Linked DNA regions of Xenopus tropicalis. The protein of the gene in region 2 binds, or shares a complex with, the protein of the main gene of each other region. Links are inferred from orthologs where the notes say so. Each region holds a gene or a part of one and is shown on either strand. Other genes may lie near its edges. The genes, in order: cpsf4, cpsf2 and cpsf3.

What was found.
Region 1: cpsf2 (region 2) and cpsf4 share a complex: the UniProt entries of both Homo sapiens proteins name them as parts of the cleavage and polyadenylation specificity factor (CPSF) complex. The link is inferred for Xenopus tropicalis from reciprocal best matches to the Homo sapiens genes CPSF2 and CPSF4.
Region 3: cpsf2 (region 2) and cpsf3 share a complex: the UniProt entries of both Homo sapiens proteins name them as parts of the cleavage and polyadenylation specificity factor (CPSF) complex. The link is inferred for Xenopus tropicalis from reciprocal best matches to the Homo sapiens genes CPSF2 and CPSF3.

What each region holds. Positions count from the first base shown.
Region 1 is NC_030685.2:47,258,022-47,268,048, reverse strand, and holds the start of cpsf4 (cleavage and polyadenylation specificity factor subunit 4), read left to right. Parts: upstream 1-3,605; 5' UTR 3,606-3,782; intron 3,783-3,898; exon of another isoform or gene 3,899-3,953; 5' UTR 3,954-4,107; coding exon 4,108-4,210; exon of another isoform or gene 4,211-4,262; intron 4,263-7,589; coding exon 7,590-7,640; intron 7,641-9,432; coding exon 9,433-9,585; intron 9,586-10,027. Other genes in the region: ptcd1 (pentatricopeptide repeat-containing protein 1, mitochondrial), read right to left, coding at 1-425. UniProt on the Homo sapiens protein: Component of the cleavage and polyadenylation specificity factor (CPSF) complex that play a key role in pre-mRNA 3'-end formation, recognizing the AAUAAA signal sequence and interacting with poly(A) polymerase and other factors to bring about cleavage and poly(A) addition.
Region 2 is NC_030684.2:87,333,207-87,343,082, reverse strand, and holds the start of cpsf2 (cleavage and polyadenylation specificity factor subunit 2), read right to left. Parts: upstream 6,180-9,876; 5' UTR 6,032-6,179; intron 5,052-6,031; 5' UTR 5,032-5,051; coding exon 4,883-5,031; intron 2,725-4,882; coding exon 2,565-2,724; intron 2,491-2,564; coding exon 2,385-2,490; intron 839-2,384; coding exon 709-838; intron 102-708; coding exon 1-101. Other genes in the region: ndufb1 (NADH dehydrogenase [ubiquinone] 1 beta subcomplex subunit 1), read left to right, coding at 9,384-9,523. UniProt on the Homo sapiens protein: Component of the cleavage and polyadenylation specificity factor (CPSF) complex that play a key role in pre-mRNA 3'-end formation, recognizing the AAUAAA signal sequence and interacting with poly(A) polymerase and other factors to bring about cleavage and poly(A) addition.
Region 3 is NC_030681.2:137,800,489-137,810,613, reverse strand, and holds the start of cpsf3 (cleavage and polyadenylation specificity factor subunit 3), read right to left. Parts: upstream 6,255-10,125; 5' UTR 6,213-6,254; intron 4,758-6,212; coding exon of another isoform or gene 4,697-4,757; coding exon 4,694-4,696; intron 1,390-4,693; coding exon 1,292-1,389; intron 785-1,291; coding exon 656-784; intron 4-655; coding exon 1-3. UniProt on the Homo sapiens protein: Component of the cleavage and polyadenylation specificity factor (CPSF) complex that plays a key role in pre-mRNA 3'-end formation, recognizing the AAUAAA signal sequence and interacting with poly(A) polymerase and other factors to bring about cleavage and poly(A) addition.

The DNA.
Region 1 (10,027 bases), on a different chromosome or scaffold from region 2:
ATTTTTGCTTTGCACTTTAAAAAGTACCAGTAAGGAGTATTCCTTTGTCTCCACCTTATAGGATAATTGGGCTCTTCTCCATCATTATCTTCTTCATGTCCTAATTTTTGAAGCTCAGGAGACGTTTTCTTGAAAAAAGTCCTAGATGAATATTTTTCAGCCAAGGTCCCAAAAGTTTCATCTTCCATACTGTGCACATCTGGGTTTGTGTTATTATTTTCTCTGGATAGGACAAAAGTTCTCTGTCTACTTGATATTTGACTTAGTGAGATTGCAGAGGTAAAATACCTTTTGTGCTGCTTGCCAATGAACCAATGAATAGAAGAGGACAAGTCTTTAGCTGCCAATATCTTTCCGCAAACAAGCTGTGTCTGACAAGCAGAGCGAGCAGACAAGTAACGAGTAAGGTGTTGTAGAAGCCGCATGATAACTTAGCCACTTAAAACTGGTTGAGAAATTCCCAATGGAGCTGCAAAGAACAAAATATATTTTGGAAAGTGTTTTTTGCAAATATTTTTCATTTATTTTTGTTTTTATCTATTAAAATGGTTAGCACAAAACTGCTAGAAGAGATTGTTGTTTTTGTAGAACCAAATATAAAGCAAAGTTCATTTCAATAGCCCCCTAAAATTTCTCCTCATTATGACCTCAATGAGCTTAGAATATATTAATGCAAGAACTAGTGTGGGTGTGTAATGGTTTAGTGTATTGTTTTTTTAAAGATAAATATATGGTTTTCAATTATTTAAAATTTAATGACAAAAATTTGTAATGGATACATCAGGTCAAGCAACATACATATGTTTAATAATATTAAAACATATTAATATTAGCCAAATAAATAGTGTTTGAATTGAAATGCAACTGTTGAGTTGCAGACTGCTGTGTTTTGAAGCAACAATCACCTAGCAAGCATCTGAACAAGAATCAGACAGAGTACAATGGAGGTAGGTAGTGATGAGCAAAATTTTTCCCCAGGCATGGATTCACTACGAATTTCTGCCTTTCGTGGATTTTTATGAGAAATGGGCACAAAAAAATTGCCACAGAAAAATTTGCCATGAATCAAAAAAATTGTTGCGCATGTAATTTTTTTATGTGTGACAGTTTTTTTTTACGCACTATTTTTCATATTTAGAATTTTTCACATTTTGAGAATTTGTATGCCGTTTTGCAAATTTTTTCAATGTTTCACGAATTTTTTGGTGAAGCAAAACGGGACACATTCACTCATCACTAGAGGTGGGGTTATAATTAAGTTACTGAATAAAGTTATGTTATCAGACAGTAGCTGCTCCCTCTGATATAACTGGAAAAACATGAAAGTAAACTCAACTTCTTCAAGCTTCTAAATGGAGTAGTTTTTTGCATAGTTAATAAACTCTTTTGTTACCTAACAGTTAGCACTGCAGTGATTGCAACAGGGAGCTTAACTAGAAACGTGAAGCACAGAAAAAATAAAAGTCACATTTAAAATGCAGTTTGCATAAAGATATATCTCTTTAAAGTGATACTGACACCAAAAAAAATACTTTTCTAAATATGGATGTACGTTAAAACTTACCTATAGGTCATGTTGACCATTTTTTGCTGATAGGGCTGCTTTTGTAAGTAATTGTTACTTGAAGTCCCTAAACCTGACTGTTTTGCCAACCTGACTGTCCCTTCTGAACCTGTAAGTTACAGCTCCTAATGCGAATGGACTACTGCTGCACAAATATGGCAGCCCCCCTCATAGAGGAACATGGGTGGTCAGATAGGGAATGTACAAACATTGGTCAAATACTTTTAAGGCAAAATTATAAATAACATGCAAGGACAATAACATGATAGATGGGATGGATTCTAAGCCTGTGGATAAATGCAGGTCGAGAATCCACAAAAAAAAGCAAAAAGCTTTTGGTTGTGCCTGCACCCGAAGCCACTGTGTCGGGCCAAGTGCTGGCACACACAGCAGAATTTGTTGCAAAACTGCTTGACACAGTAGCTTTGGGTACAGGCACAACCAAAAGATTTTAGTAGCGTAGGCCAAGAATCCACCCCGTGGATTTATAGTTTACCTCCCCGTTGCAAGCACTGCAGTGCTCACTATTGGGTAAAAAAAGAGTTTATTAACTATGCAAGAAACAAGAGGCTTTGTAACTCTACTGTAATCTCTTTGTAACTCTTTGTAATCTCTACCATCAAAGCACTACAAAAATAATGCATCTGTTTGTAAATGGAACTAGAAATTTCATCCTGTTGTTACAAGATCCAGATTTATGAAAACCCAAGCAACCATAAAGGAAACCCCAATCAGGCCCAGATATGTGGTGAGGCCACAAAGACTCAGGCCTAGGGCAGCATGCCACCCAAGTCGCACAGAAATTTTGTTCACGTACGGAGCAATGGGATTTTTTAACATTTGCTAGGTTTTGGGCGCAAAAAGCTCTGCAATTTCCATAATTTTCCCTGAACTTTCCCTAACTTCTGTAAATTTTCATTTGTTACAAAAACCCATTAGGGGAAATAACATCAATTGCTGAGATTTTTCCACCCAAAACCCAGAATGAATTAGCAAACTCAAAAAGTGGGGTTTCCTTTATGATAGTTCAAGCACAAAGGTAAGCAATGAGGCCCTCAGTCCTGTTAGTGACTAGGGATAAAGAATTTGTTTAAAGGTGAACTAAACCCCCCCACAGGAAAAAGCCCCTCATTGCCTGGCCTCAATTGGCCCCCCTCCCTGCAACTTCCTCACAGAAAAATGGGCACTTTTCTAACAGACTCTGCCGGGAGTGAGCAGGAATGGGGTTAATTAAGGGTAGGCTATGGGGCTTTTGCTTGTGGGAGAGTTAGTCCTCATTTAAAAAGAGAAAATGACCGCTGCATAAACAAATATACCCTTCTCCTAGAAAAATGAGTTATCTGTGGACTAGTAAACTGTTTTACTATCTTCTCACCCCACAATTGCTTAGAAGAACTAGGAAGCTGGAAAATCAAGGAGCTTTCAGTTCCAGAGTTTGCCATATATAATGCAAGAAACTGCAAAACTATAGATATTTCTTAATTAAAATAGAAGGCAAAGGATATTTTTGGCCTATTTACTGGACTCTTGCTGGGGATATATTCTGCTCCTTTAAAGCGAATGCTTGTTTGTTGACCTCTAATTAACAAATTCCTATTGCCAAAATAAGTATTTTCACAATAGGAACTTGTTAGGGGGAAAAAAGTGTGACCCCCCTCCAACTTTGGGACAGTGCTTGGGACACAAGCCAAATTTCATTAGCAGATTTAAGAAAAACTAACCCTTTTTTTGTTAATAATTCCCTAATGCCAAAATACTATGTAAGAAGTAGTAATACGTTATAGCGACGGGTATATATAGATTTCCCTATTCTGTATTCTCCAGTGTCATATCTAGAAAGTGGACCCAGCAGCTGCGGACTGTATAGAGATTCCTTTGTAATACTGACAGATAGACAGTTTCAAAATATGATTATGAAAAGTTTCATTATTGCTAAAGCGAAGGACGGGCAGAATGTTTTTGCTTTAGGGCCCTGTAACCTTTAGCTACACATGCCTGTATTGCTGAGAGCACTGCCAATATGTCACATTGCCGGGGTTTCCTGGCACTGCTGGGAGATACTGACAGAGACACACAGATTTCCCTATTAAAACACATGGACTAAGCAAAGACTACTGCGCTAAAAAGCATACATTTCACATTACATATTGCATTTACAATCGTACTGTCTGTAATCCGACATCCTAACAAGTTTCAAAATATTCGTCCTCTATCCTTTGTGAGACACCTTACTCCGTAGTATTGCCTTTCTATACACAATTCTGATCAGTAAATGTACCATAACGAACATTTCTAAATTGCTTTATACAAATAACATCCAACTTATTAACTTACTATCCAACATCGCTCTCACGTTTCGATTTTAATCTTTTTTTTTTTCCACCCACAGCTTTCAGCCCCGCCTCCTCCCGACGTGCTTTGCATTGGTTCTTTCCCAGAGTGCCCTGCTCTAGGTTGAGAAATCCATCGTTCGGCGTTCTGCTGGATGAGTCTGATGCTGATATTTGGTGTTGGTGTCGGACTCGGTACCGGTAACGATAACGATGCAGGAGTTAATTGCTTGTGTGGATCATATCCGGTTCGATCTGGAACTGGCCGTGGAACAACAGCTGGGGGCTCAACCCCTCCCTTTCCCGGGCATGGACAGTGAGTACCGGGGCCTGATCCCTCCCATTACCGGGGTGGGCTTTTAAACCGGGTAATGATCCCTTCTCTTAGCCCTATGATGTTTTTTTAAAGAGTGGATAGTGTGATCTAAATCCGACTCTTTGGGCATGAGGCAGCGACCTACACGTGACTTTATGCATTAGAAACTGAATAGTGGGACCTGGTTTCTTTTTTGTCTTGTTCTTCAGAGAAGTGAAATCTTACTTGGGGGTCTTTTAGCTGTTAGTAATTTACAGCTCTCAGGGATAGCTGTGAGTTTTAAGTCAACAAATGGATGGCCGCAGGTTGGACGTTATCCTGCTGTGAAAGCAGGTTATAGGTATTTTAAAAAGGACGGGACGCAAGCCAGGGTCTGAAAAAATATCTGCCCAAAGTCAACGTACCCCTTTATCTAGGATAATGACAGCGATTTTAATAGCAAATTGTGTGAGACTTTTCCGCGCCTGTCAGTCCCTGGTTTCCCTGTATGTCAGTCACGTGGTTTTGTAACACACAGTCAATTGGCTTTGAAATAAAAACCATAACTACTGTTATCTTCCTTATATCTGATATACTCCCAGAGAGAGAAACATGCACTATCTGTCCTATAGAGGTATCTATAACATACAAGCTGCTTGCAAATGTAAAAGTAACAAGTTGCATAAATAAGCTGAATTATGTAGGTTTGACTATGCTGACCAGTTCACACACACTCACACAGGCACATGCAAAGTGGGTCATGGGATCTAATAACCAGGGGGACATGTTGTGTTAAAAACAATATTGTGCCAATGAATTGAGGGGGCACACTGTACTGTAGGATAGGAACCAATCAGCAGCTAGGCTGACCTGATAGGGAACTGAAGCCTGTCTTTGCCTGTGTGACTGCAGGGCTGTGATTGGCTATCACTATCCTACTGTGCTTCTGGCAGGGAGCATTAGGAGACGGTCTATAGGGAGCTCCAAAAAAGGACCATTTTTACAGATAGTATTAATTTTTAGTCCAAAGTGAAACCAGCACCATAATTGCCTACAAGATTAGAGGTTTTGTGGTTATCCTTTATGTCTCCTTTAAAGCTTTCAATAAATTAGACCTAGAAATCAACCAAAGGCATATGAGAGCTTCGGAAAGTAGCAACTTTCCATCAACATTTATAGTGTAATAACAGATTTTAGTACAGAACAGGATGCTGGAGTACTTGCCAACCCAGGCAATTGTGTACATGGCTGGTCCTTCTTGTGAATCTTATGCTGCCTATAAGGTGTGACAAGCAGGTTGTGTTTTGTAGCTTGCAATCTTACATTAGGCAATGGCATATGGGACGTATTGCCACCTGCACATACTCTTCTCCAGTTCGAGCAACAAAACGTCCAAAGCTCTCTTCCCATCAGCATTAATGTAAATAACTGGTGGGAAAACATATGCATTGCGTACTAGCCTGAAGTTGTCTTGCAAGGTTACTATGAGAAGCAGACGTAATATACCAGTTTGAGCAGTACATTTTTCCCTATCCAGTATAGGTAGCACTGTGATCGGGGTGATATTATAACAGAATTGAACATTGATCCAGAGGATCGCAAACAAAAAAATAAACATCTGAAGCTATCTCCAGTTTTCCTCAGCAGGGTAAAATTCCTTCCTGACTTTGAAGGGCAATTGGACTAGTTCCTAAATCAACTTCTAAGAGTACTGTAACCCTAGATTTTCTCACTTTCTAAGAAGGCATCCAACCCTCTTTTGAAACTGTCTAATGCAGGGTTGGGCAAACTTTTTGGCTCAGGGGCCACATTGACTTACAGACGGGCCGGGCCAGCATTACACCGTTTCCACTTGTCAGACGCCTCGCGTCATGAGACTTCCAGAGTCGGCAAGCCAGATTAAAAGGACCAACGGGCCGGACGTGGCCTGCGGGCCGTAGTTTGCCCACCCCTGGTCTAATGTATCTTCCAGTACAACTGCTTTGGTGACAGAATTTCACAGCTCTCCCTGTGTTGCATCACCTCTGTTTCAAAACAGTGTAAAAAACTGACATTCTAAAGCTGGCTATACACGTAACAATTACAATCTTTCCTGTGACCATTGGTCTCACGAAAAATTGTTCATACCCTCCAATGACGTTCAGGGCTAATTCGTCGGATGTGGCAGTAGAAACAATAGGCATTCTACTCCTCTCTGACCATTCAGCCCTAAATTCAGCTTTTGCTTGGGCGCCTTCAACTGCGCCCGATCAACGCTGTAAGGTTTTATATAATATCCTATATTCTCATATTCATATAGTCATATAGTCATATATCCATATATGCATGTATTTTGATACTTTGATGCTTAGCATATCATACTCTATTTTAGAAATGTATCTCCATTTTGTAACCGCAACCAGCAAGGCTTGAACATCCCATAATAGTTGTTTTTCCCAAATAGTACCCTTGCACAGCTTGCACCTTACGAAATACATGGTTTAAAAACAACTTAATCTTATCTGTGCAATAACGCCTTTTCTACTCCTTGTGTCCTCCTTTAAATTCCTGTCCCGTATGAGCCATGTTTGAAGGCCATCCCTGAAGATAATGAGGTTCTACTCCATCTTTATTTTATAATGATCCTTTTGTTTCTGCAAGTACACAAGGGGTATAAATTCTATGATCACTTAAGAATAAACTGGACAAGTTTGAACTACCATTGGAGTTGTGTCGTTCTTGTCCCCGTATACGCCTTTGTCCTGGTAGGAGGGCTCCCACGGATTACTAAATCTAAGATCGGCGGTCAGGAACCTTACAAACGCGATGGCCCGATATCTAAGACTTTTGTGATATTGGTCATCTCGTCAATCCACCATACATTGGTGCGTGTATGGCCAGCTTAAGACAATGGGCATGTCATCTTTTTTTTTGTGGTCTTTGAATTATTGTGGTGCCAGGGTCAGCAACAACCAGCAGCCCAACAGAAAATTTATTTTGTTGTTAGTTTTTTATATTTATTGCTTATTCTATGGAGAGTAGTAGACCTAAACCTCAGAAATAAAAAAAGAAAACCAAGTGTATGTAAGGACAATGGCACATTTTAATAGCAGAGCATTTGAATTTCTTAAAGCATGTCTGTAAAACGCATAAAATGCAGCAGCACCATTACCCTAATGTGAATATTTGATTTTATTGCAGTAGTAGTGGTAACAGTTTTTTTTAATTTTATTTTAAAATATAGTAATACCCCTGTAAATTTACAGATTTGTAATGACAATAAATAGGTATATGCAGTCTGTATTCATGTTATAGTTACTGGTTAACAAGACAAATTTCTATAAACACATATTGGTAGTAATGAGGCTAAGGGCTTATTTATTTTGCACTCTTTTTTAATAACTAAAAATGTCTTTTGCAGAGTCTGGGGCTGCTGTTTGTGAGTTTTTTCTGAAATCGGCCTGTGGAAAAGGTAAATCACTGGAAATGAACATAACTCCATAGTATTTATGCTGTAAATCGAGACATGGGTGTGATTTACTAACATAGGGGAGAAATTACATTTGTGTCATCACCCATAGCAACCAATCAAAATTATTTGCGGATTTATTGCTGTTGGCAGCTTAATGCTTAGGGCCTCTCCATGGGGAGACTAGTCGCCTGCTACCACGGCAACTAATCTACCAGAAATACTTAGCAAGTATTAGAGAGACTTAGCAATGTTTATGCCTTCCCACTGGCAATAACGTGAATAGCCAGTGGGAAGGCATACGCATCACTAAGTCCCCCGAAAGTTTCCTCACAAAGGAAACTTTGGATGACTTAGCGATGTGTATGTGCGGAAAGGCATTTTGGGGAGATTAGTCCCCTGCGGCAGCAGAGTTTTACCACGGGTGACTAATCACCACAGGACATCAGTCTTATATTTGAAAAATACAAAAAGTCGACCCACACATCACTACTGTGCTGCTGTTTTACTAGTATTTCCAAACGCTCTTTCCGAACTTCTTAATTGCACATGCACAAAATAGTGAAGATTTTTACTGTACTGTGCAAGTTCAGCTAAGCATAAGGGGAGCCTTTTAACATACTAGCAAGACTTTGCAATGCAGTGTTAGATAGCTTCTGAGACCCATGCATTGTTTACAAACAGGAGCACCGGGCTGAGGAAGAGAGTTAGAAATGTAAAGGAGAATGAAAACCTACTGACAATCCTAGGACCCCTCAACAACAGAGATAGGTGCCATTATAGGACTGCTCTTTTATTTGTTTATACAATTTGTTAAAGAGCCCCAAACAACACAGAAATCTGTAATATACCTATCATTGTAATCTGTTCCTTCAAAAACCATGAATAAATACAATTTTTATGTGCTGAAATCTATCCGCAAAATAGTTCTTCTCTTTCTGCATCATTTGAAATCCTTGCAGGAGGGACTAAAACATTGATTATACAAATTCTCCACAGCTTACAGACATCAAGCAGGAACTACATAACCCACAATTCATTGCACTATAATGTTTCTTTCCTTATTGACATGATGTCTGCAAGGAATTTTGGGATTTGGAGGATGCAGGCTGAGGCAGTAGACTACTGTTATATTTTATTTGAATCTCAAAGTAGTGATCCAGATAAGGAGGAGAACAGGGGCTAGGCTTAGAACAGTTTAAAACCATATTATTACATTAAAAATCATGAAAAGGCTGCATATCTTTTAATTGATTTATATTGCAAAATTGCTTACACTTTTTGAAAAGTACATCATTTAAGTTGTGTTTGGGTGGAGTTCCCCTTTAAATTATTGTCCACAGACACTTAGCATGAAGTACAGCACAGGGGTGTATTTATTAACATTGGAGATAAACATCACTGGTGATGTTGCCCATACCAAGCTGATCTTTGCTTTTGCTTTCTAACTTGTAGGTGTTTGTCTCCAGTGATAATAAATAATCCCCCAAAATGTTGTTCTTTTGGATGCCCTACAATAGATTGCAAAATATATGCTATTATAAAGAATTAAAGAAATATAATATACAAAATCACTTTATCTCTCTTTATTTCTTTTATATTAGGGATGCACCATTTCCAGAGTTCGATCCTTGGACAAATAAAAGCATTATTTTAAATTGCAAATTAGGGTCCCAGTTTTTGTGGGTATTCTGCCAGTTTTTGAAAATTATGGATTCGGTGCATCACCAATGTACATAGGTAGAGAGAGAATAATATATTTCACTTTTTTAAACTATCTGTCTTATCTGTGCAGGCGGAATGTGTCCGTTTAGACATATCAGTGGGGAGAAGACAGTGGTCTGTAAACATTGGTTACGAGGCCTTTGCAAGAAGGGAGACCAGTGTGAATTTTTGCACGAGTATGATATGACTAAAATGCCAGAGTGCTACTTCTACTCCAAGTTTGGTAAGTGATTGTATTATTTAATAGGTTTTATTGGCATTAAAGTCTATTTTTAAAGGTTATACCTGTGGTGGTCAGTACCTCACTCTTTTTTATATTAAAAAGTTAATGTTTAATTTATTTCTTTTTGTTCTTTTTTCTTCCATAACCAGTGGTGCATGTATTGGCTTATATTATTAACCCTTTACACAAAGCTACTGGGCAGTGTGGTGTATGTTAGGGGATATGGCCAGCACAATCCAGAAAATCTGAACGATTCTTAACAAGACCCCTTTCTAAATTTTTTTTAAGGATTAGTGCACCCACTTTTTCATAAATTCAATGATCAGAGCTTGTGCTAAATATATATATTTGAAGTAAGAATTATGAATGCTTTTTGATTGTTTTCAACCAGATAGCTAGTTTGATAATTACAGCATATTAGTTGAATTATTTTTTGTTTGTA
Region 2 (9,876 bases):
CCCTCTGCTTTCTTCTTGGCTGGACATAGGTAGCATTAAAACAGTCAGTAATAAGTAGAGATGGCCTGCTGATCATTTCCAAGGAGCATCCATTTAAATGTCTAAGGACAAAACACAGAGTACCAATTAGCAGCATATGAAATTGAATGCAGAGTACATATGCCAGTTCCATTATCATGTGTATCCCTCTGAGGATGCTAAACTCTAACCCAGGGATCCCCAACCTTTTTTTTTATCCCTGAGCAACATTTCAATGAAAAAAAAGCTGGGGAGCAATACAAGCACAAACACTTTCCTAGTAGGTTACCAATAAGAACTCAGATTGGTTAATTAGTAGCCCAATGTGGACTGGCAGACTACTGCTACTACTGCTGTTTAGCAGTACATATGGTCTGTTTGCCTCAGAAAAAGTCAGAAATTCAAAAATGGGCACCAACTTTGAGGCCACCAGGAGCAACATCCAAAGGGTTGGTGTGCAACATGTTGCTCACGAACCACTGGTTGGGGATCACTGCTCTAACCAAACAACTGCAACCAACAGAAAGCCTTTATAAATTGACACCGCAAACAGCCAATTGCTAATGTGCTAAAATTTAAATATGTTTTCTACATTGTGCACATCTTATTTAATGATAGGGAAATGTTTTCCTGAGATAAAGTATTCCCAAGAGGTCACACAAAGCCCTGATACAAACAGAAGAAACTTACATCTCTCTCTTGTGATTGAAATCCACTGCATACACAATTTCTTCCTCTCCATCTTTCACAATTTTCCATATGGTCCCCCCTATCATGTGACCAGCTGGTAAAGGAGTGATTGACAAGCCATGACCCTTTCCTGCAGAAGAGAGGCAGAGGCAATGTTGTTTTGCCTTATTTAGTCATACATAATTTTATAATAGAATGGCTGAAAAGAATCACTAACAGGAAAAAGCATTTGCTTTTATTCACATAATATCCCACAACAGACAACTGGAGGCAAGGTGCCCCATAAAATGCTTTTTCCAGGTTACTATAAGCTGAGCAACGCTGTACAGCTATGGTCACCCTTTTCACTGCTTCTGAACTGCAGCAACTCAATTAACAAATATGTGTTACATTCAATAATCATTAAATTCAGTGAAGCTGCTGGCATATAACGTAGACCTCCCGGCCTTAGCTCACTCTTTCAGGTCCAGTCTCTTTTTTTTGTAAGATTTTCTTTATTGATTTTTTACAAACAAACCAAAATAGTCTCTCCTTCTTTAACGAGATGTCTGACCCTGATACCCTGGTTAGCGAGTACAACAGTATGCTAACCTCCACCATTGACTCATTTGCACCCCTTCAGCCTAAGCGTACTCCCCTCTACTAATACAAACCAGTTCCTCCTTCCTCAGCCCCCTTCTGCATGCCTTAGCTCTTTTGCTTCCTTAACTGTCTCCGAAGTCTTCCGGCTTCTATTGTCAGCTCCGCTCACCACTTGCTCTCTCTCTGCTTAAACACTGTGCTGCTGAACTTACTCCAGCTCTTACTCACATCTTCAATTCTTCTCTAACTTCTGGAAGTTTCCCCTCTTCGTTCAAACAGGCCTGTGTCAAGCCTATCCTTAAAAAGGCCACGCTGGTCCTGTCCTGTCTCTCTAACTATAGTCCTGTCTTGCTTCTACCGCTTGCCTCCAAAATCTATATTAAATACTGCTGCCAGAATTCTCCTCCTCTCATCCAGGAGAGTTCAGGCCCTTCCCCTGCTAAAGTCCTTATCGTGGCTTCCTATTAAACAAAGAATATCTTACTAACTCCTTCTCTTAACCTTCAAAGCCCTCTATTCCTCTGCCCCTCACTACATCTCCTCTCTTGTGTCTCCGTACATTCCTGGCCGACTCCTTCGTTCCTCGCAAAGCAACCGCTTGGTTGCGCCCCCCACTATTACTGCACGTTCCCACCTTAAACCTTTCTGCCTTGCTGCCCCTTACATTTGGACTGCCCTCTCTGATTTCCTCCGGAGAGAATCCTCCCTAAGTTTTTTTTAAAACTAAACTTAAAGACTATCTTTTGGAGCACTCACCCAGCACCTGATCTGGGAACTAGCACTTATATTGCATTGTCACCCACTGTGACCTACTGCACTTATATTTGCCTATTTGTGTCTGTAAGTTACCCTCCCATATAGATTGTAAGCTCTACGGGGCAGGGACCTCCATCCTCTTGTGTCTTTGACTCTTAACTTATTGCAACTGTATCTTGTATTTATTGTTATACTTTGTATTTATCTGTTATTATTTTAATAACCCCCTGTTGTATTAATCTATTCTTCTGTACAGCACTGTGTACATAAGTAGCGCTTTATAAATAGAGATATACATACATACTTTAAAAAACAAAAATCCCACTGTTTATACATACCTTTCAAATGCACAATTTGGGAATATTTTAATTGCTGGATTTTATCGAATGCACAATCAACATCATCAAGAGAGAAAAGACTGAAATCCTCAGTGTTGTGACGAGACTGAAACATAAGAGATTTGTTTTAGTGTGTAAACATAATGGCATATTAACAAATGTGATAGTATTAATATATACCTGATATAAGTCATACATAAACATCTGACCCATCTTGTACACTGGAATAGTAGAATATATGGCACAGTTCAACCCCAGCTTTCCAACAGCATAGGGCAGAGCCCCCAGGTGCAATGGATCAGGATGCGATAAGAGGACTGCATCCACCTGATGGACATATCTGCAAAAAAAAAAAAAAAAAAAAAAAATTATATACATACATACATACATACATACAGTTGGCACCCCAGAAATTTTTCCAGAAAATCAAGTATTTCTCACAGAAAAGTATTGCAGTAACACATGTTTTGCTATACACATGTTTATTCCCTTTGTGTGTACTGGAACTGAACAAAGAAGGGAGGAAAAAAAGCAAATTGGACACAATGTCACACAAAACTCCAAAAATGGGCAGGACAAAATTATTGGCACCCTTTCAAAATAGTGGATAAATAAGATTGTTTCAAACATGTGATGCTCCTTTAAACTCACCTGGGGCAAGTAACAGATGTGGGCAATATAAAAATCACACCTGAAAGCAGATGAAAAGGAGAGAAGTTCCCATAGTCTTTGCATTGTGTGTCTGTGTGTGCCACACTAAGCATGGACAACAGAAAGAGGAGAAGAGAACTGTCTGAGGACTTGAGAACCAAAATTGTGGAAAAATATCAACAATCTCCAGAGATCTAGATTTGCCTTTGTCCACAGAGCGCAACACTATCAAGAAGTTTGCAACCCATGGCACTGTAGCTAATCTTTCTGGGCGTGGGCGGAAGAGAAAAATTGATGAAAGGTTGCAACGCAGGATAGTCCGGATGGTGGATAAGCAGCCCCAAACAAGTTCCAAAGAAATTCAAGCTGTCCTGCAGGCTCAGGGAGCATCTGTTTCAGCGCGAACTATCCGTCGAAATTTAAATGAAATGAAACGCTATGGCAGGAGACCCAGGAGGACCCCACTGCTGACACAGAGACATAAAAGAGCAAGACTACAGTTTGCAAAAATGTACTTGAGTAAGCCACAATCCTTCTGGGAAAACGTCTTGTGGACAGATGAGACCAAGATAGAGCTTTTTGGTAAAGCACATAATTCTACTGTTTACCGAAAACAGAAAGAGGCCTACAAAGAAAAGAACACAGTACCTACAATGAAATATGGTGGAGGTTCACTGATGTTTTGGGGTTGTTTTGCTGCCTTGCATGTGTGCAAGTCATCATGAAATCTAAAGATTACCAAAGGATTTCGGGTCGCACTGTAGAGCCCAGTGTTAGAAAACTGGGTTTGCGTCCGAGATCTTGGGTCTTCCAGCAGGACAATGACCCCAAACATACGTCAAAAAGCACCCAGAAATGGATGGCAAAAAAACGCTGGAGAGTTCTGAAGTGGCCAGCAATGAGTCCAGATCTAAATCCCATTGAACATCTGTGGAGAGATCTTAAAATTGCTGTTGGGAAAAGGTGCCCTTCCAATAAGAGAGACCTAGAGCAGTTTGCAAAGGAAAAGTGGTCCAAAATTCCTGGTGAGAGGTGTAAGAAGCTTATTGATGGTTATAGGAAGCGACTGATTTCAGTTATTTTTTCCAAAGAGTGTGTAACCAAATATTAAGTTAAGGGTGCCAATAATTTTGTCCAGACCATTTTTGGAGATTTGTGTGACATTATGTCCAATTTGCTTTTTTTCCTCCCTTTTTCGTTCTGTCCCAATACACACAAAGGGAATAAACATGTGTAACTGCAATACTTTTCTGGGAGAAATACTTGATTTTCTGGAAAAATTTCTGGGGTGCCAACAATTTTGGCCATGACTGTATAAGAACCACCAAAGAGGAGCACTCCCAAAACTAATGTAGCAACTTGCCTGGGTGCTGGTAAATATGTTAAATAGAAAATCATAGTACTACCGCACTTAACAGGAATACTTGTGAAAAATCTATATTTATTGAAAAAAATCAGGTGTTTTGAACACCAACTGTGCTCTTTCTCAAGGAGACCTTTATCCCCTTAGCAAAGGTCTCAAGGAAGACCGAAACGTTAAAATAACAAATAAACAATATCTTTACACTGTACTTTCAAGCCCTGTGAGTGCCTTGATTTATATGACATTCTATATTACTTTTTTGTGGCGTGCACCAAGACATTTTCTCCAATCAGTGAGTGCAACTATTTTTGTGTTTCTTTATATAAAAAGAAAGCAAATAGGAGCCAAAAATGTTGGCACCCCTCAGTGAGTTAACCTTTTGCTCTCCTTCTACTGAAAAAATGTCTTTTTGACTCCAGCTGTACAGCAAGTACATTGTAAACATACTGCAATGGCATACATTTTATATATGTATTATGCATACTTTTTGACAGAGTCAATGATATCCATGGAAAAATTCTCATCCCAGCCACAGTCCAAGAGAAACCGGAATTCATCAACCTGAAGAAGATAACAAACTGCAGATTCTTCCTGGGCGCCGGCCAAGGTAGTTAGCTTAATGATGGATGTCATTTTTTTCAGATGCTACAGATCTATTAGAATGCATACAAAAGCACTGTTATATTATGTGCAGATAAGCTGCTGCATGCAAACATTAATGAAGCAAAGTATATGGTTATTTTCATAATCTTCTTGAGGATATCTATTGACACTAAAGAAAAACACTTAAGGATCAGATGAACACACTGCATTGTATAGGACAGTAATGTAATGTAATTTAATGACCAGGGGATGGGGGTTTGACTGCTTCAGTGTCTGCCTTTCAAGTGGGCTCTAAAATGGTGCAGCCTAAAGCCCAACAGGGACTCAGTGGGCTCTCTGTCTGCCCTATTACCCACAGACCTTTGCAAGGCTTGCAGCGACAAACTGCATATGGCACAGGTAAAGATAGGGCTCTGTTGCAAACTTTCAACTGGGAAAATTCACTTGGACCCTTAAGACTTTATTTACTCCCAGTGTATTCACGTTTGTGCGCCTTTACTGAAGGGCTAGGTAATACATTCCACAATAACCATTTCCTGGGCACTAAACAACCCCTCTGCTAGACTTCTCAGCACTAGTCTATGTTCCCTATTTCAGGTAATTGGATAACCTGAAAAAAATAAGTATCTGTTTAAATGCAGTAACATGTATATTCTCAATGTCTCATTATAACAAAACCCCTACAATGCTGTAGCAGTTCTTAATGGGATAGTACCACTAAATGTAAAGTAAAGTTGGTTAAGTCTGGGCTCCCCTGCCCTAAACTTTCAGAACCTTTCTGTGCTTGCCTGAACTGGCCCCTACCGAAAATTCTGACCACCAGCCTAAACTCATTATTAGCCTGACATCTTACGTCTGAGTCACACAAAACTGCCAGTTTCAGTCACTTTGCTGCAGGAGCAGCCTGCAATGTATCTAATAAGCTCTCAGCACAAGTCTCACTCTCTAAGTGTCCCGCTCTACGTCTCTTCTCCCGTTCCGCTAACCTGCAACAGCCTTTCAAATCCCATATGAGCCTCCAACATTTTACCTTTCGCGCCGATAAGAGAAATGCCCACTAGCTCGCTTTCGCAACTACATACGAGCCCACCAGTCCCTCTGAAGACCCCATGTGAAGTACTATGCCAACAACAATCAACGACTAGCATTGGATGAAACCGGCGCCATCTTCCTTGTGCGCATGACCGGGGTGCGCAGAAGGAACAATCCATTTCAAGCGGAAAGGGGGAGTGATTGTATAAAGTCTAACAACTTTAACAGTATTACTTCACAAAACGTTCCTTTTACGATTAATAGTGTCTAACGTATGGGAATATTTTTAGCAGTTTAGCCAGCTTTCCCTTTCATACAGGGCATATAAGGTGTCCCTAGACTTTAAAATATTGGTAGCGTCCGCTGCCCTCTGTGTGTTTCCTTGCTTCCTTGCTGGCTGGTTGGTGTAACTGCTGTTCCCATCCGAAAGGTAAGAGTGCGAGACTTGGGGTCCTCTAGGTGACTAGGCCCAGATGCATGTTAACTTGGGGGTCATGAATCTGAGAGAGAATGCAGTAGTATAAACATAGGCACATAGATGTCCCTTGAAATAAATCTTTTTAATGGAAACAAAGGAAATGTAATAGTTATCAGTAGAATTGTAGGTAATAGAAATAGTGAGGGAACATGTACTGAATAATACACTGGGGAGGGGGTCACAATACGTTAGACACCCCACGATTCTTCAATAGCTTACCTTTTTACCTGGACCAGTACTCCTGTTTGGAAAAAAATTGCATTGGACTAGGGAACATTTTTACCCAGTGCTGTGCAGCCATGTTTTCAGTATTTCCCAGGACTCAGTAGTAAAATGTTACCATTGTGCACATGCATAAGTCAGAGTTGTAACAAAAGGGAGCCTTTGGAAAATAAAGGTAAAAGTAAATTGGGTAAAATAAATAGACTGCACAAAATAAAAAATATTTCTAATATAGTTACTTAGGCAAACATGTTAAATCCAGCCTTTATAGATTACCTTTTGCCTAACTATATTAGAAATATGTTTTATTTTGTTCAGTCTACATAAAAAGGCAATATTTACTGATATACCACTTTTCTTACCTTGCTTAATAGCTCACTTATTCGGGTTGCATTTTCATTAAAAACATTTAGTTTTCCTTTACATATTCAGGTTACTAGCAACCACCTCTAATTCTGTGTGCTGTTTCTTTGAAGTATGTGCTGTATGGTCATATGTGGGTCTGTTGCACAAAGGACCACTATATGGTCATGTGTGCGTTTGCTGCACATATAGCAACTTAAAGGAAAAAGAAAGTCAAAGTCACTTGGGGGTGCCAAAATGTTAGGCACCCCAAGTGACTTTGACCACCTACCTTTTACCCCGGGCTGGTGCCCCTGTGAGGAGAGAACAGCACCAGCCCGGGGTAGCTGCCGGCGCTTACTTCTTCCTGACTCGCTGCGCGCGCATGCGCAGTAGAGTGAAAAGCCGAACTTAAGCATTAAAGTCGGCTTTTCACTCTAATGCGCATGCGCCCACCGCTGGCATTTCAGCAATGGAAGCAGGAAGAAGGAAGCGATCTGCTCCAGGTACCCCGGGCTGGTGCTGTTTTCTCCTAACAGTCACTTGGGGGTGCCTAACATTTTTGCCTAACACTTCACTGATGTGCGTCTGAACCTCTTGCTCAGGGAGTTCCAAAACAATAGATTGGGTGAGATTTAGGGACAGATTTATCAAAATGTGAGTTTAGAGCTTATTACATAAAAACTCACCCCGATTTTTTTCATTCCTATAGGATTTTTAGTGTACTTATAAATGGGAGAAAGTTGAAAATGCTTCTAAAAATCCCATAGAAATTAATACAACGTGGGTGAGTTTTTATGTATTAAGTTCTAAACTCACATTTTGATAAATCTGCCCCTTAGTGTTAAAGTTTTTGTAGTAATGTATACACCCAGAACGGTATAAGAAGGTCAATGATCGTAGGACCATTTTATATATCGAATAAAGCTCTTTTAAAGGAACAGCAACACCAAAAAATAAAAGAGCTTTAAAGTAATAAAAATATAATGCCCTGCACTGGTAAAACTGGTGTGTTTGCTACAGTAACACTACTATAATTTATATAATAAGCTGCTGTGTAGCCACGGGGGCAGCCATTCAAGCTGGAAAAAAGGAGAAAAGGCACAGGTTACATAGCAGATAACAGATAAGTTCTGTAGAATACTATAGTGTTTTATCTGTTATCTGCTATGTGCCTGTGCCTTTTCTCCTTTGAATGGCTGCCTCCATGGCTACATAGCAGCTTATTTATATAAATTATAGTAGATTTTCTGAAGTAAACACACAACTTTTACCAGTGCAGGGCAGCAGCACATTATATTTTAGTTACTTTTATACACTTTCATTTTTTGGTGTTACTGTTCCTTTAAAGGAGAACTAAAGCTAAATTAAAGAAGTAGGGCAGCAATGGTGTACATTGTTTTGGCTTTGACACCAGCAAATGGCAATCACAGCCCTTTTGGCAGGGAAGATCTCTGCCGCTAAATTTGCCCCCAGTAGCTTCCCATCTTCTGCTGCTACACTGCACATATTCTGTGCTACTGTCAGTTACCTGAGCTTAGGGACTCGCTCACAATGTCACAATATAAGGCTGATTTAGTAATTAATTCAGAATATTAGTACATATAATCAGCTCTGTAGCATTAGCTTTTCTGACAGGCAAACCTCATTTTCTACTTAATAATTTGTGCATGTGAGTGTCACTGATACTCCTAACAAAATCAAATATGGATAGCTCCTGTGACAACTTTAAAGGCCTGGATCATTATTATTATACAGATGCTGAACCTCTTGGCTGGGGCAATATGTTTATGATTAAAATGAATATGGCTAGAAATAGCATATTTTTTAAGTTTTAGTTCTTTTTTAACTAATGGGGTTCTTGGCCATATTTTTGACCACAAAGTGGGATGATAAAATTAAAAACATTAACCTAACAGTCTGATATGTAAAATTTAGAATATTTGCATATAGGGACACACTAAATCCCAAACACTTAAGATCACTTGACTTTGGTCACGCAATAAGGTGATCACAATTTTTTTTCTGTATGCACGGTTCTTTTTGACCCTTGGTGCAAATGCAGATTGGCTTTGGATTTGGTTTCGGATTTGCCGAATCCTTCATGAAAGATTTGGGACTCAACTGAATCCCAAAATAGAGGATTCTATGCATCTCTAATAAACACTATTATTTAACCCACGTAGTAAAAATACATTTTGTTGAGTTTGATGTACACTGATTTATTTGGTTTATACATTTTCATTATTTTAATTTTGTCATTAATTATCCACTTTTTATTTCTTGTAATTACTTTTTTGCAGTTGCCATGGTAAACCTTGCAGGAATTCTGCGAGATCACTGGGTCAATGTGCTTATTCCTGTTGGATTTGTGATTGGATGGTATTTAGACAGGAGGAATGATGAAAAGTTAAGTACATTCAGGAACAAAAGCATGCTGTACAAAAGGTAAGATTGCTTTTACAAAATATGACTAAAGTTGCCCAAGAAAATAAATAGTCATTCCTCATTAAAACATACAATTTATTTCCAATTGCTTTTCCACACTGAAAAGAATAGTCCAAATTCTTTCTACCTGCAAGCGATTTGCATTTAGCTACAGGTTGTTTAACAGATTTTCTGCCAAAGATAGTAAAATCTACAGGACCAGCTGTCAGGGGCCTAATTGTCAGGTTTGTAGATTTGATGTTTTCAGGAATTCTATATCTGTAAGCTTTTAGAGGAGTTTCTTGCATGTACAGCAAGTTTCACATTGCCCCACTGCATCTCAATGGGATTTAGATCTGGGCTTTGATTTGGTA
Region 3 (10,125 bases), on a different chromosome or scaffold from region 2:
TTACTGGGAAAAAAAGAAAGTATAGTAAGAACACAGTGTGAATGTACAACACTTTTAGAAGTGTAAAAGTACTTAGTTTAATTCACCGAAGCTGCAAGAAAATGCAGGTCCATACTAATAAAAATATCCAGTTTGATGATTTCTGGGAATATCCTCATGACAAATTAACAAGTAATATGGCAGCTGCAATATAGGCATTATCGTTGAACTTGATGGACGTATGTCTTTTTTCAACCCAACTTACTATGTTACTATGTTACTATATTACTATATTACTATGTTTGCTTAAAAAAACCCTACTATAGTTTATTTAAACAAAGCTGCTGTGTAGCCATGGGGTAACTATTAAAATTGAAAAAAGGAGAAAAGGCACAGGTTACATCAAAAGATAAGATGGGTATATTCCCATTGTATTCTACAGAGCTTATCGGTTGCCTGCTATGTAACCTGTGCCTTTTCTCCTTTTTTTCCCAACTTGAATGGCTGCCCCCGTGGCTACACAGTAAACTATAGCAGTTTTTCTAAAACAAACACCCCAGTGTTACCAGTACAGGACAACAGTACATTATATTTAAATTACTTTAAAACCATTTTCATTTTTTGGCATTACTGTTGCTTTAACCTTCAATGATGAATGGATATGGATGGCACTTACCTGACTTTGACATAATCTGACAGCAGCCATCTGTATATAGCCTTAGTAGCATGGGTCATAAATGTCCGCCCCTTAAAGCTCGTCTTCTGCAGGAACCATGGAAGGGCCCCACAATGATCCAGATGGAAACTGAGAGAAGAACGAATACAGGGCTTATTTAAATCATGGCTCTTATTAGCAACTTAGGCAAAGCTGGTGAATTCACCTAGTTAAACAATACAGATTTATAGATAGAGCAATGCACTATTTCACTTCAACACATCTTTATTTTTATATTTAAGTACATGCGCAAAGACAAACAGAGCACAGACTTCTGCCATAAGGATTCCTGCTCCAAACTACAATTACTAAAGCCCTATGGAACAAGAATTATAGACATGGGAACTACCCACAATTCTATAAGAATAAGAAGTGAGTCTGTGACACAGGACTAAAAATGCCAGTCAGATCAGCAATGCATATTGTATGTACACGTGTATATTTCATAATACTGTACTACAATACAAAGAGTGATTCCTAACAAGTATGAGGCACTTGCAGCCCACCCACCATCACATAGCTCCGAATTTGCAAGAAGCAGCATAAAAGAAAAATGGCAAGATGTCTTTCAATACAAATCTCAAAGATTATACTTACTGACTTATAAGGAGCAAATCAATCTCTGCAGGGTCAATCAAGTCAATGTATGGGAGAGCATCCATTCCCTCTAATCCAGGGTGGATCCCACAGTCCAGCTGTAAACACAAACAAGCAATAACTATTGCTGTAGAGTCTGCTGTTTTACACCTGCCATTGGCAGAAACATTGCTAACGCACTGACCAACTGTCCAGTCATTAAAGGGCTGGTTCACCTTTAAATGAACTGTTACTATGTTACAGAATGGCCCATTCTAAGCAACTTTTCAATTAACCTTCATTACTTATTTTTATAGTTTTTGAATTATTTTCCCTTTTCTTCTTTCTTTCTTCTTTGATTTCAAATGGGGATCACTGACTCCAGCAGCCAAAAAACTATTGCTCTGCTAGGCTACAGTTTTATTGTGTTGGGTTGAAAAACCCCACATAAACCCCACATACTGTTTTTCGACTTCAGCTTATTCTTCCGCTTCTTCTTCTTCTTCCATTTTCTAAACACTACTCCTCCTACAGTTTTAGGGGTACAATACCCAAACTCCCCACACTTCTTCGCCCTATAGTGGAGCAGGTTGCTTGTGCTTTTCTAAGCGATTGCGCCCCCCGTTGTTTTGTGGCCCCGCTCGGAACGCCCCAATTTTTCTCTCTTAGTTTGTCTATATCTCTCTCTTCCTATCAGTTTATGAGTAACACTTTCATTACCCTATTTCATTATTTTAGAGAACCTAAACCTCAACTGAAATACAGTACCTGAGTGGAATATGTGTATTACACAGAATTACATCCCATAAAACAGCTATGTATTAAGTCTCACAGAATAGGGAAAGAAGCGATTACACAATCTCAGGAATGATATATGCCTATAATGTCCTCTGCTATTTTCCAAACTCTTTGTTTATTTCTTATGGTTTCTTACTGTCAACAGCATTGCCATCCACAGTAAGGAACAAGGGAGGCACTTGCCCCCCAGAATTTCCCTCTCAAACAGGGCAAGTAAAAGTGCCCCAGGTCGCCATAATGGTGTTTAAGATCTCAGCTTGTACTGATTCTGGGTCTCTCTCCTGCTAACACTGGCTGTCTCTCTGGGAGTGTCTAGTTACAGTTCCCGGGAGTTGGCCGCTCCCAAGTTTTTTATGAAGTGCAGTCAGAGAGTAGTTATGTCACATATTAAAGCCAAGCACCTTAAGTCATTAGATCTATTGCAATTTACCTATTGCTCCAATTCATCTGCGGTGGAGGCCAATATTGCTGCTCTCCATCTTTCTTTGTCTCATTTGGACAAAACAAAATACTTATTGTATTGCCAATCAAATTTCACCTATTGACTTGTATAGGGAAATTGAAACTGCTGCCACACTTTGAGGCTACACTCCCCAAACTTGAATCACATAGTCATGGGCTCAGCCTGAATGAAGATATGATGATTGTTGGATGCCCAAAAGTGGGCGGAGCTGTGAACAGCTAATCAGATTTTACCTGCTGCCATTCTCACAGTAAAAATGCCGGGGTCCCCAAACTTTGCAGAGTAAGGCACCAGGTAACTGTGGGTCAAGGTTAGAAAAAGTGGGCGGAGCCACCAACAGCCAATTAAATTTACCTATTGACTTTCAATGGGGAATTTCAACCTGCTGCCATTCTCACAGTATTAAAACCAGGGTCCCCACACTTTGCACAGTCAGTCACTGCCTGACTTCGTATTTAAGGTTAGAAAAAGTGGGCGGGGCTGCCAAAAGCCAATCACATTTCTTTCATTGTTATTGGTGGGGAAATTTTAACTGCTGCCATTCTCACATGTTTAATGTCAGGATCCCTAAACTTTGCACAGTTTGTCACTGGGTTCCAAGTCTAGAAAAGTGGGCAGGGCCAACAACAGCCAATCAGACTTCACCTATAGGACTTCATATGTTTAAATTTAAACTGCGGCCATTCTTTAAATATTAATACTAAGGTCCCCAAACTTTGCAGAGCTAGTCACCAGATATCTGCGGTTCAGAGTTAGAAAAAGTGGGTGAAGCCACCAACAGCCAAATTTTAACTATTGATTTTTAATGGGGAAATTCAACCTGCTGCCATTCTCACAGTATTAACACCAGGGTCACTAGGGGACTGCATTTTTAAGTTTTAAAAAGTGGGTGGTGCCACCAACAGCCAATCAGACTTCACCTATTGAATTATTTTGGTTTAAATTTAAAATGCTGCCTTTCTCACACTATTTATGTCAGGGTTCCCAAACTTTGCAGTCAGTCACTGACTGCAAACGTATTCAGGGTTAGAACAAGTGGGCGGAGCCACCAACAGCCAATCCATTTCCACCCATTAAATTTCATTGGTTTATATTTAAACTGATGCCATTATTTAAGTAATAATTCCAGGGTTGTTAAACAAAGTTAGTCACTGGGTATTTGCAGTTCAAAGTTAGAAAAAGTGGGCGGAGCCACCAACAGCCAATGACATTTCACCTATTTACTTTCAGTGGTGAAGTGTAAAATGCTGTCAGTCCCACAATTTTTATGCCTGAGTCCCCAAACTTTGCACAGTTGGTCACTGGGGGACTGCAGTTCAAAAATAGGAAAAGTGGGTTGGGCCACGAACAGCCAATCAGATTTCATCCATTGAATTTTATTGGTTTAAATTTAGAATGCTGTCATTCTCACACTATTTATGCCAGGGTGCCCACTGTTTGTCACGGGGTGACTTCGACTCAAGGTTAGAAAAGTGGGCACACCCACCAACCACCATTTACCTATTGACTTTGATTGGTTTAAATTTAAACTGCTGCCATTCTTAAACTGTTAATCCTAGAGTCCCTAAACTTTGCAATGTTAGTCACTGGGTAACTGCAGTTCCAGGTGGGAGGAGCCACCAACCACCAATCAGATGTCACTCGTTGACTTTCAGTGGGGAACTTTAAGTTGCTGCCATTCAGACACTATTAAAACCAGGGTCCCCAAACTTGGCACAGTGGTTTTTACTATATAACTGTGGTCCAAGGTTAGAAAAAGTGGGCGGAGCCAACAAAAGATCAGATTTCATTTCGTGACTTCACATTTTTCAACCCAACATGAAGTTTGTTCTCAAACTTCCCTTTCTAGTTGTTACTGTTACTTTTTATTATGTATTTTTCTATTGTGGCCCTCTCCTATTCATATACCAGTCTCTCATTTAAACCACTCCACGTTTGCTATGGTAACATGGACCCTAGCAACCAGAAATTGCAAAAATTTCAAACAGCAGAACTGCTAAACAAAAAGCAACATAACTAAAAAAACACAAATAATACAAATTGATGACCAATTGCAAATTGTCTCAGAATAGCACTCTCTACATCATATTAAAAAGTTAACTCAAAGCTGAACAACCTTTAACAAACATGCAACAATCTTACGCGGTTATGTATGAACTCACCATAATCTTTCTTCCTTTGAATTCCAGAATGATACATGATCTTCCCACCTCCTGACCAGCGCCTCTGAAATCAAACACAACAGTACATGCTTTAACATAATTGTCAGCCACACATGCAATGCAATGGGATTTCTGACATTTCTATTTAAGCCTATTCATTCACCAACAGACGTGAGAATTTCTGCTCTGCTCATGTCTCTGACATAACTGGAATAGATATAAAATAACAGGCATTTTAATTCCATGCACTGTGGGAGCAACTAACATGATTGCCATAATGCCAGAGGACAGATATGTAGCGCATGTATCAAAACTAAGTCTATAGGTGGTGAGAGCATCAGGAAGCGCTAATGTTATAGCTGGCGGCCCGCTGGCTTATCATAAACAATATATAGGTACATGAACCCACAATAGGTACAATACCCACATCACATCACTGTCTAAACCAGAAGTGCTCAACCTCCCTAATGCCGTGACCATTTAAAGGAGACATATTGGATAAATGGGAAACCCCTAACCCTGTAGGCAATTATGAATAATATTCGGTGCTGGTTTCCCTTTGGGCTAAACATTAACCCTATCTGTAACAATGGCCCCTTTATTGGAGCTCCCTATAGATCCTCTCAGGTCCCTGCCAGAAGCACAGTAGGAGGGGGAGAGCCAATCACAGCCCTGCACTGAGATGAGTAGAATGTGATTTCCTTGCATTCAAGTTTTTTCAAGTTACTTTTAAACGAAATAAACACAAGCACAGACAGGCTTCAGTTCCCTATCAGGTCAGCCTAGCTGCTGATTGGTTCCTATCCTACAGTGCAGGGTACGGAGGGCCGCCAGCTCCCCAGCTCATCCAGAGAATTCAGCCAGCAGGAAGTGGAACAGATGGGTGGGACTAGTGGGGTTTTGGGAGAATTTCTCAATAAATCAGTTTGAAACACTATTTTTTTTAGCACAATCCTTCTATATCTAGAGGAGTATAATTCCCTGGGAAATTCTTAATTTATATAGGATATGTCTCCTTTAATACAGTTCCTCATGTTGTGGTGACCCCCAACCATAAAATAATTCCTAAGACCATTGGAAATATATGTTTTTAGATGGTCTTAGGCGACCCCTGTGAAAGGGTTGTTTGACCCCCCCAAAGGGGTCCTGACCCACAGGTTGAGAACCGCTGCTCTAAACATAATCACAGTAGGCCAGGGCTGCTGGCAGGCTTGGGAACCCACTCCAGATGTGGAACCTGCAGCCTTCCAGTCACTGCCAAACTACAACTCCCAGAACCCCCTGACTGAGATGCAGCCTGGCCATGCTATAGGAATATACAGAGCACCTAGCTAGCTATTGTTACACCATGTATCCAACCCGTGTGATGATAATAAGGTAAATGCCCTTTCCGCCATACAACAAACCCAGCGCAGTATGGGAGAGACTGATAGCCGGAGGGCCCCCCCATACACAGGTTATACATTACACACACAGAAGCCCCGGCTCTATACTAAACCCCGCACAATGTCTATAGTACCCGTAACATATAGTGCCGGCATAAGGTTATAGTATCACCCACAGGGGCCGAATGAGCAGCTGGTCACTCTCCTCGGCCGGGATAGCGCTCTCCGCTTTCCTTTTCACAGACATGATGTTCCTATCCCATTCGCCGAGACTTCCGGCCCCCGCTACACACCATTCCCCGGTCCGCCCCTTCACTTTCCCCACTCTATTGCCACTTCCGGGTTGCTCCGGGCTCTGCGCTTGGGTTCCGCTATCTTCATGTAGCTAATGGATTATCACTCCACGGTAACGTACCGGATAGGGAAGAGCCTTATACTGTAACCGAGGGTACCGGGCCGGAAGCAGCTGTTACAGTAAGTGGCTGCAGCTACGTAGCAATACGGGCTTTGTGGGCTCATGTATGTTAGGGTAGTTATCAAACTAATGCCAAAACACTACTGCAGCTTCCTGGAAATTGCAGTATATATTATTTCAACGTGTTCAAGCCCTTGTTAATGTAATTAGGAACCCAAGGCAACCCAATGAAACTATGTAGCAAAGTCCTCCAGGGCTTGTGGCTTCTGCTACATTGTTTCAGGAGTCATTGCAAGCAGTGCAGAGAATAGAAATAGCCAGGCAGTGGGTAGTTGTCAAACTAATGCCAAAACATTACTGCAGCTTCCTGTAAATCTTATATATATATTATTTTAATGTTCAATGCTTTGTAAATGTAATTAGAAACCCAACGCAACCCAATGAAACTATGTAGCAAAAGACCTCCAGGGCTTGTGGCTTCTGCTACATTGTTTCAGGAGTCAGGGCAAGCAGTGCAGAGAATAGAAATAGCCAGGCAGTGGGTAGTTGTCAAACTAATGCCAAAACATTACTGCAGCTTCCTGGAAATCTTATATATATATTATTTTAACGTGATCAATGCTTTGTAAATGTAATTAGAAACCCAACGCAACCCAATGAAACTATGTAGCAAAAGACCTCCAGGGCTTGTGGCTTCTGCTACATTGTTTCAGGAGTCAGGGCAAGCAGTGCAGAGAATAGAAATAGCCAGGCAGTGGGTAGTTGTCAAACTAATACCAAAACATTACTGCAGCTTCCTGTAAATCTTATATATATATATATATATATATATGTATATATATATATATATATATATATATATATATATATATATATATATATATATATATATGTATATATACAAACCAAGAGGGTTCAGCACTCCTTAGCAAGTGGCTAATTGACCCAGGTGCTACCGATTCAAGCAATTTCAATAGAGTCCACAGGTATAGCGGTGCACACTGGGAATCCTTTAAAAGTTAGCTTTTATTGAACTATATAAAACTTAATACATGGAGAAATAGGTCAATGTTTCGGCCCCCATCTTGGGCCTTTGTCAAGACCTTAAACATGTAACAACCAAATTAATGACTTGTGCCATTGGGTGTGGGTTTGTGCTATTTATAGCTTTGATGGTTGTTACATGTTTAAGGTCTTGACAAAGGCCCAAGATGGGGGCCGAAACGTTGACCTATTTCTCCATGTATTAAGTTTTATATAGTTCAATAAAAGCTAATTTTAAAGGATTCCCAGTGTGCACCGCTATACCTGTGGACTCTATATATAATTGGGCGAGTTTTTGAAGTTGGAGCACCCGGTTTGCCCGGTACTATACACGTTGCCAAAAGTGCATAAAAGTCTTACACAACCACCAGGGCGTCCGATTGTGTCCGGAAGGAATTCCGTATTGCATCCCATTTGTGTCTACTTAGATACCATACTCCAGCCGGCGGTACAGAAAACACCGACTTATCTTAAGGACACCCCACATTTGCTAGATTGTATCAAACAAGTACATATCCCTGAGGGTGCACGTTTCTTTCTAGCAAGTTTGGATGTGGTCAGCTTGTATACCTGTATACCGCATGAGGAGGGTTTGGCGGCCACTCGGACTGCGCTGGAGTCAATGGATACATATCAGGGGCCCCCAATTTCATTCGTACTGGAACTTTTGCATTTAGCACTTACCTTGAATTATTTTCGGTTTGAATATGATTTTTTTCTCCAGGTTTCTGGTACGGCAATGGGTGCTGCCATGGCTCCAGCTTATGCTAATTTATTTATGCATTGTTTTGAACAACTGTATATTGTGCCAAAATATGGGAATAACCTTTTGTTTTTCCGACGCTATATAGACGATATGCTTATGCTCTGGTGTGGAACGGAGGATGAATTTCATATGATGGTGACAAATCTTAATGCATTGGACAGTCCTGTTAAATTTACAGCAGAGATCCAGAGGGAGCGGCTACATTTTTTGGACATTGAGCTGTGGATCACGGGTGGCCAGTTGGGCTACTCGTTGTTCCGCAAGCCCACTGACAAGAACGTGCTTCTCCACTTTGGTAGTAGTCACCCTCCAGCCCTTAAAAAATCCCTACCCATCTCACAATTTTGTAGGGTTTTGAGGAATAACTCCGATGAGCGCATAGCGGAAACCCAAATCCTGGAGATGTGGGGGCGCTTTCAAGCAAGGGGTTACCCAGTTTCAGTTTTAACGCAAGCTTTATCAACGGCTCGCTCTCGCTGTAATCTCACTAGCAGGGGTCCCAAGGCACATCCTGGTGTGGTGTTTTGTACTACCTTTAATTCTAGATCTGGCCACATCAGAAATACGATTGGTAAAAATTGGAATATTCTTCAGGCCGACCATGCCTTTAAGAAGGTATTACCCAATGCCCCACTTGTTAGCTACAGAAGGGGTATAAATTTACGTGATCTCTTAGTACAGAGTGACCCGATAGCATGTTACCAAAAGAAATCTGGTTCATGGTTGCGTAGCAACAAACCTGGATGCTTTAAATGCCCCAATTGCACCTCTTGTCGGTATATGACTCCAGGGGCGACTTTTTTACATCCCCATACGGGTAAGCGTCTCAATATAAGACATCATATCACTTGTACTACATCTTTTGTCATTTATTTGATTACTTGTCCCTGTGGTTTGTCCTATATAGGAAAGACTGATCAAACGTTGAGGCTGCGTATGGATGGTCATCGCTCTGCTATTAGTACAGCATTTCGTGATGGGGTGACTAATAAACCGGTGGCAAAACATTTTTTAGAACAGGGCCACAGGTTACCCACCTTTCGTTATATTGCAATCGACCATGTTCCCCTACCCAGGAGGGGGGGTGACTGCTCCCGTTTGCTCCTACAAAGGGAAACATTCTGGATTAAAACTTTAAATACATTATCCCCTTTTGGCCTTAATGAATATTGCTCTTTTTCCTGCTTTTTAAATCAACGCTAGATCTCTGTGGGGTTTAGATTCTAGGGCCCTTAATGTGAGGTGATGGGCCAGAATATAAATGGGAGTTTATGGCCAGTGGTATGCTCATTATAATTTTCCTTATGGTGTTTGATATTGTTTTCTCCTTGGTACAGGGTTTCTTTTCTTTTAATTTTGACACATGACTGGAATGACTTGTGCCATTGGGTGTGGGTTTGTGCTTTTATCTATTTATAGCTTTGATGGTTGTTACATGTTTAAGGTCTTGACAAAGGCCCAAGATGGGGGCCGAAACGTTGACCTATTTCTCCATGTATTAAGTTTTATATAGTTCAATAAAAGCTAACTTTTAAAGGACTCCCAGTGTGCACCGCTATACCTGTGGACTCTATATATATATATATATATATATATATATATATATATTATTTTAACGTGATCAATGCTTTGTAAATGTAATTAGGAACCCAAGGCAACTCAATGAAACTATGTAGCAAAAGTCCTCCAGTGCTTGTGGCTTCTGCTACATTGTTTCAGGAGTCAGGGCAAGCAGTGCAGGGAATAGAAATAGCCAGGCAGTGGGTAGTTGTCAAACTAATGCCAAAACATTACTGCAGCTTCCTGTAAATCTTATATATAT